Rattus norvegicus: one gene and its partner. The protein of the gene in region 1 interacts with the protein of each later gene in a pairwise test. Links are inferred from orthologs where the notes say so. Each region holds a gene or a part of one and is shown on either strand. Other genes may lie near its edges.

Region 1 (4,334 bases):
TGGGGCTACAGGGGTTTGTGCACACAACACCTTGGTGAGGCCTTGACACTTCAAATCCAATGGACCTCATGGGGAAATAAGACAGAAAAAGTCCCTTTAAAACAAATCTAATAATAACTTCAAAATCTAATAGGAAGACAGAGTGAGAGCTTGTCTCAAAACACTAAAACCAAAAAACAAAAACCAGTTAACTTGACAAGATCAACCCACTGTTAGCTCTTGGTTCTTCTTTCTTCCACTTTAATACCAAACCAAACTCTTCTCGCCTCAGAGGGACATTTGCTTTATTTTATGACTTGTCTGATTCTAAAATCAATAATAAAGCCAATTAAGATCATTAAAGAATAAAATGAAAAAAAAAATGGCTGTCTCTGGGTTTCCTAAAGATAAACAATGCTTTTACTGTTAAAAAAAAAAAAAAAAAAAAGATCTTTTTCTTTTTCTAAAATCAAGAATGGCAAGAAAATATCAAAAAGGATATTAAATTTTCAGCCTTTCCTGAATATCCTGTGTGACTACATAATATTTTTTAATTTAATTTATTCTATATATGTGAGTACACTGTAGCTGTCTTCAGACACACCAGAAGAGGGCATCAGATCCCATTACAGATGGTTGTGAGCCACCATGTGGTTTCTGGGATTTGAACTCAGGACCTCTAGAAGAGCAGACAGTGCTCTTAACCACTGGGCCATCTCTCAAGCCCACTACACAGTATTTTTAGCCCTCATTATTATGTACTTGCAGGTGTTATAAAGACGAAGGACAAGGCCCCACTCTCGATGAGCCTGTAATCGCGTAGGTGAAAGAAAATGTAAATAAAAATTGCTCTGAACACTGGCAATTTGGTCCTGGATTCAATCCTCAGAACTGAAGAGAAGAGGGGGCACTATAAAGTGGTATATATACTGTGCAATTGACACGTACACCACTTAATATAAAGTGGTATATGTACTGTGCAATAGAAAAATACTCATCTTAAGACCATTTGAGGAATGGAATGAAAGGAAATAATGTGCTAAAAAGAAGTCACTTGATGAGCAATAAATAAGTAAAAATAAATCAACCTGTGGTGTGATGGCAGTGGTGTCAGCGGCACACACTTCTAGTCCCAGCACTCAGGAGACAGAGGCAGGCGGATCTTTGTAAGTTCGAGGCCAGCTTGGTCTAGCTAAACTCAAAAAATTTAAAAAAATGAAAAATCGATCTAACATATTAGTTCTGAGGCATTTCCCAGTCCTGGCAGAGCTCCTTGGCTACCTGCTTGCACTGTCTCACTAGAATTTTGAAAACACCCTGTTGCAGTTCCCAAGATATTACCACTATTTGTAATTATTTTTTAAATGGTACTTTTAAAATTTTTTACCCATTCTGAGTTTATCTAAAATTAATAAGAGTATAATCTAGAGCCAAACACAAACAAACAAAAACACCATTTCCATTTCCACAAAAGAAAAGTCAAGGACTTTTTTAAAAATCAGGTCTTGGGGCTGGAGAGAGCACTGGCTACTCTTTCAGAGGACCTGGGTTCAATTCTGAGCACTGACATGGCAGCTCACTGCTATCCATAATCCAGTTCCAAGTGACTTGACACCCTCACACAGACATATATGCAGGCAAAAACACCAATGCAAATAAAATAAAAATAAACCATAAAAAAGGGTCTTTAAAAAAAATTAAACGAATGTTAGTTTGTCAAAATAGACTGTCTTCCCAACCGATTGCGCTAGCAAATGTAGGCCTCTGAACAAAGGCAAGAGAGTGTGAAATGGGTTATTACCAACACGCCTCACCTTTTCCTCTTTCATTTATTTTATCTTTTTAAGGTACAACCAGATTATGGCCATATTTAAGCACAACCTACGTTTGGATAAGAGCAGTGCCAAGGAGAGCAAGAGCCCAACCCGTAGGGTTCTTAATCTCATCTAGTCCGTGTTTCCACAGCTGGAATATGGGGGTGGAAAGTTACAAGAGTGCTAGGCTTCTCCTTTACTGAAACCCCTCAAATGATAACGCAAGCTACTCCTTTTGGGGAATTTAAGGTCACGAGCTTTAAAAAGGGACAATGGAACTCCAATGTGGGCTTCAGAAAGATGGAGATTGTCAGATGAGGTGGGGGCAGGGAAATGGGGACAAGGGGAAGAGCTTAGCCTGGGAATTCAAAATAGGGAGGTCAAGGCCAGGGACTTACGGAGCTAAAAGGGGGACAGATCTTTCAGGATCTGTCCAAGTAGGCCCGTCACAGCAGTCTGAAAGCCTGAAGGGCTCCTTTGAGAATGTGGGGCACCTATTTTACCAGCGTTACCTCCCCTCTGCTTGAGAACGGAGACAACCACCTAAGAATCCTCCCCCAATTGGCTTTCCTTGCCCTTGAAAACAACTGACCCTCAAGGAAAAGAAAATGCAAAAGCGTCCTAAGAGTAGAAGGGCCTGGGGCAAGCTGTCCTGCAATTATCCAGTGGGGAGCCTAACCCAGTTCGAGGAACTTTAATATTCATTGAAATGGAGCGGCACGGAGCCCTCCCCCCACCCCCGGAAGTCTCCAGGCAAAGAAGCTCCAAGCCAGGGGTCCCACGGCTGCCGGGATGGGCGGGCGACGGCCTGGGGCGCGGTCTCCGGCCCGGGGAGGCCAGCCCGCAGGCCTGAAATGTGAGCAAGAGCGCTGAGGGCCAGGAGCGAGGGGAACAGCGGGGCTAACAGAGGCCGGCCTAGGCCTCGGAGACTCGGACACACCCACCGCTGCGGCGGCGCTTACCTGCTCCTCCTCGGGGGTCAGCTCCGGCGCCATGTCCGGCCGGGGCGCGGTCGCCGGCTCCATCCCGCCGCCGCCGAGGCAGGTCTGGTGGGCGAGCGCCCAAGCCCGCTACACTCGCGCTCCGCTTCTGCGGCCCGGCGCCTCAGTAGCTCTCGGCCGGCTCGCGCATGGTGCGAGCGCCCGGCGCCCGCGGCGGCTGCCAACGCCGCTCCTGCTGGCCGCGGAGAACCGGCTGTCGCTTCCCGCGGAGAGGAAATGCCTATTTGCTTCACTCCTTTCCTCACAGCACCCCTCCTCTCCTGAGGAGGAGAAAGTGCGGGCGAGAAACTAACAGCAGCTCCCGGTCTGTTTGCTTTTTTCTTTTTTTTTAAGGAATCCACAACTTTTACAGCCCACCGCGAAGGCGCCTGGCGTGAGGCCGTCGGCCTTCCGAGCCGCTTCACTCCGGGGCAGAGCTCGCCGGCGCCTCGAGACCGCCCAGCCCGGGCGTCCTCGGGGATGCGGGCCCTGCGACCTGCTCGGTGGCCTCGCGGCCCAGTTCCTCAAAAGCCGAGGCGGCGACAGGGAGGGCGGGCGCGAGCGAGCGAGGAAAAGGCGTCCCCCTCCCGGCTCAGGGCCAGCGCTGCGGCCTGCGCCGAGTCCGCCCGAGCCCCCCGCGGCTCCATTGAGAAACTGAGCATCTCATTCACAAACAGGCGCCGGGGAGGGCCGGGCCGAACCGGGACGCTGTCCGAGAGGGGGAGACAGAGAGGAGCTGGGAGGAGGGGAGGCTGAGCGGAGCGGCGGGGGAGGGGCTGCGGGGGCTGAGAGGCAACTCCCCTACGGGAGCAGGAGGAAGACGCGACTGTGAGTTAAAAGAATCCCAAATTGTGCGAGGACCGGCGCTCTTCCTGGCATTCATGGGCAGCTTCCACCTATTCATGGTAGTGTCTTAAAGGTTGCCTGTGAGGTCCAAGATGATCAGATGCCTAGGATTTGACAGATAAGCAAGAGCCAGGTTTCTTAGCGCAATGAATGTAGCCTGTAGTCCCAGCATCATTGTAGCTAATTTAAATCCGGTACAAGAAAAAAAGAGAGAGAGAGACATCCTGTATCAGAATTCATTCAGGAAGCCCACAGCCTTTGCAAACTCTTGATCTTACTCTAGCGTAAAGGCAGCAGAGTTTGGATCTCTCAGGGACACTGTGAAAGCAGGGTAGGGCCTACTGTGATTTTTTTTCATTATTTTAGACCAAAGTTAAGTATCCCAGAAGGATCTCAACAAACCGGAGTGCCACAGCTAGTCTCCCAGGACTGAAGCCGAGAAAGAACCAGAGGAAAGAAATGCTGTAAGTTTTGATGCTCGTCTTGGAGAACTTTTTTCTTTTAAGATTTATTTATTATATGTAAGTACACTGTAGCTGTCTTCAGACACACCAGAAGAGGGCATCAGATCTCATTACAGATGGTTGTGAGCCACCATGGGGTTGCTGGGAATTGAACTCAGGACCTCTGGAAGCAGTCAGGGCTCTTAACCGCTGAGCCATCTCTCCAGCCCTTGGAGAACTTTTTTAAAAACAGGATGGAACCTGACCTCCCT
Region 2 (3,566 bases), on another chromosome or scaffold:
TTTTCAGCTATGGAAGCAGTGGCAGGTAAGCCAGCCTTATCAACACAGTGAGCTCTAGGCCAGCTAGGGAGATACACTGAGACCTTGTCCCAACAAAACAAACAAAAACACTCCCCAGATGTTGGGACTAATATGATTTAACAAAAATTTTTTTTTATAAATTCACAGAAATGATACAGAGAGGGACCATTATTAAGATATCTGAGCTTGTAAAATGTATTCACTCAGTCAACACTACTGGCTCATTAAGATTAATTTACAATATAATTCTAAGGGCACATCTGACTTAAGTTATCCCTTCTATTTCTATCAACAGAAAGTACAAGCCCTAGCAGGGAGCTAGTGGCTACTCTAGAGAGGTCACAGCAGCTCTTTCTCTGAGACAAAGGAGTTTTAAAAGCTAAAGCTCAAATACAATTTTTTATGGGCAAAAAATTTCAACAGCACAAACATGAGGAAGCATTTGTTAAAGTCAGAGTTCAACCAGAAAGGCATTAAAATTTGCCTCCAGATTAGGACTGGCTCAGTAGTTAAGATCACCGGTTTCTCTTCCATAAGATCAGAGTTCAACTCCCAGCAACCACAGGGAAGCTCATAACCTGTACTCCAGGGATCAGATGCACTCTTGGCCTGCAATAGCACCACACATATCTTGTACAGACACACATACAGGCAAAACAGCCATATACATAAATAATATTTAAAGGTTAAAAATAACTGCTCCCCTGTCCCAGGAAAACTACACTAGAGCAAAAGAAAATCAGAAATAAAACCTGGAACAAACAGAATAAACTCCTGGTTTCTAGCTGTTACTACATAGGGCTGAAACATGGACATAGTGGCTGACTGAGGGCTGCCTTGGGCAAGCTAGTCTGTGCCTATTCTGGATTTAGAGCTCTCTTTAGTCTTAAGTCTGAGCCTGTAGTGAGTAACAAGTTCTCAGATACTAACCTGATTACTTCTCAGGGTGACTGCAAGGTATTTAGTGAATGCTTCTGCCATCAATCAGCTATAAGGGATAGGCTAGAACTTCAGACATGTGTAATCTCAGCAAACTTACTTGAATGGATGTCCTTCTTCTGACTTCTGCACAGCTTGGATGACAGACTTGTAGACTCTGAAGCTGATGGTGACAGAGAGTAGAGCCAGGATGAGGTAAGAGACCACACTGATAACACTGAAAGCTGCCAGAGAGAGCAGCATGATCAGCGTGGTGCCAAAGACAAACCCAGTCTTCTTCACATCTCGCCAGAAAATCAGATCATGCACTGCCAAGAGAGAGGGAACAGAAGTTAGAGAACCCAGGACCACCCTGCTTGTGCTATGTTTTACTGACTGGGCCATCTATCTCCCTAGTATCCTGGCACCTCTTTCTTTTTGGTTTTGTTATTATGGGTTATTTTTTATAGCCCAACCTTGCACTCTACTCCTGATCTCCTATGAATTGGGATTGTAGGCCTGTGACACATATCTACTGATTTTTTTCTTAAGACAGGGTCTTGCTCAATTGCCCAGTCTGGCCTTATAAAAATGGACAAGGCCTCTAGAGTTGGAAAGATGAAACTCTGAGTCTTGGTCATTTCTACCTGTGCTACTTTTCACCTTTCTAAGTCATTCTCCATTGTAAAGTGAAGAAAATGGCACCGTCCCCCTAAAGCTGTTTCAGGTCCAACGCAGGCAGACTACATTATTACCTACATGCAACAAACTTATGTGACTTAATAGGAAGGAGAGGTTTCAAGATTCCTGATGGGAAACTGAGTTTCAGGTAGAGGTTTTGCAAATCAGGGAGAAAACTGGGTACCATTCAGGTGCACAGGACTGAACTGAGACTATACAGGAAAACTGAACAGCAGGAGACTTACGCAAGAGGGCTGGCACTAAGCAGGGTAATTCCTACAGTCAGAGTTCAGGCACATACTATGCCAGAGTTCATGTGCCTATAAGTGTAGTTTCAATATAGAACGCAGAGAGGTTTCATGTCACCAACTAATCAAACAAACTGATGATACATGTCCCTGGATATGACAATACTGCTTCTATGGAATTCTAGCCCTAAATATGTACCTTTTTAGAAAGAGAAAATAACTTGACAAATTCAACTGGAGAAATATCCTACAGAAAGCCAATCTATATTATTAAAAACTACCAGTGTAAACAATAGGGGGCTGGAGAGATGGCTCAGCAGTTCCAGCTGATTTTAGTTCCCAGCATCCACAGATTGGCTCACAACTGTCTGTGACTCCAGTTCCAGGGGAGTAACAGACCTCTTTTGGCCTCCAGGGGCACCAGGCACACACATGGTTTATACATACATACATACAGATAGCTAAACACTTATATAAATAAAATTAATAAATCTAAAAGTTTTTACAAAGAAAGGAAATAGATTTCTATACTTGCACAAGTTGAAAAACGCCATGTATCCTCACGGACTTTACCGCCACCTGCTGGAAAGTTGTTATTCAATCACATGTGACTAGTGCCCCTAGAGCACTGCAGAACATGAACTGCCTAACTGTACAGAAAGGCCCTAGGCCAGAAAAAGGGTATTAGGGAATGGCAGATAAAGAGCAACTGTCCTATACCTCCAACCTCACAGCTTGTCCTTGCTTCACTCAGGCCTTGGCCTGCCCTATTTCCTGCCCACACTCTGTATTCCACCACTTTGTATGACCTTACAGCTTTGTCTCTTCTAGGAGCTCGTACCACCACCTTGTTTATAACAGGCTCTTCAAATCTGTGACAGGCCAACCTCATAACCCAGAGCCAGTGTGAGAACAACTTCCCTTCATTTCCTGATACTGCTCCTCAACATATAGAGATTTGCCAAGCATATTCAGTTACAAAACACCTAAAAAAAAAAAGAGGGGGGGTGGTGTGGCAAAACATTTGGAAACTTTTACCTTTCTGATTCTCTGGTAGAGTTAGAGGAGAAAAATGTGATAAACAGGGCGGCTATTGAAGTTTAATGTGAAGCCATTAGAATGGGTGTTCAAACTAGTAAGAAGGCAGAGTTTTGTCTCCATAATTCTTTTTTTTGGGGGGTGGGGGGCACTGCCATTACTGCTTTTAAAACAGCAAATTGGCTAGGTGTGGTGGTATACAGCTGCAATCCCAGACCCTGAGGGTTGGAGGCAGGAGGGCCAGCAGTTCAAGGCTATCTCCACTTTCTGAGCCAGCTGTGATTAGATGTGCATGCCAAATTGCCTGGGATATGTGGTGCCAGGAAGAGCTATGTTCACCTTTCCACTTTTTTCACTTTTTAATTTTGAGGTTGGTCTTGGGCTTCTGACCACCCTGCTAACACAGCTTCTTGAAGAGATGTGATCACAAAACTTGTGTTACTTGGGATATCTCTTTCAATGAATGGAAGGGAAACAAGAAGGGCTAATAGAGTATGAATCTGATCAAACTATATTACATACATGTGTAAAATGTCACAACAGAATTCACCATTTGCCCAATCTTTCAGCTGATAATGTACAGATTCTGAAGTTTGGGTTTACAACCTAGGCCACTGGCAGTGGGGTGACTGGGACAGGATACAGAGCTGGATTCTCACT

What was found. The genes of interacting proteins can lie anywhere in the genome.
Region 2: the proteins of Ptpn9 (region 1) and Rtn3 interact in binary tests that used the Homo sapiens proteins (3 or more experiments, as listed by UniProt). The two-hybrid records come from large-scale screens. The link is inferred for Rattus norvegicus from reciprocal best matches to the Homo sapiens genes PTPN9 and RTN3.

What each region holds. Positions count from the first base shown.
Region 1 is NC_086026.1:66,286,429-66,290,762, reverse strand, and holds the start of Ptpn9 (tyrosine-protein phosphatase non-receptor type 9), read right to left. Parts: upstream 2,841-4,334; 5' UTR 2,819-2,840; coding exon 2,756-2,818; intron 2,650-2,755; exon of another isoform or gene 1-2,649. UniProt on the Homo sapiens protein: Protein-tyrosine phosphatase that could participate in the transfer of hydrophobic ligands or in functions of the Golgi apparatus.
Region 2 is NC_086019.1:214,049,804-214,053,369, forward strand, and holds part of Rtn3 (reticulon-3), read right to left. Parts: intron 1,269-3,566; coding exon 1,061-1,268; intron 1-1,060. UniProt on the Homo sapiens protein: May be involved in membrane trafficking in the early secretory pathway. Inhibits BACE1 activity and amyloid precursor protein processing. May induce caspase-8 cascade and apoptosis.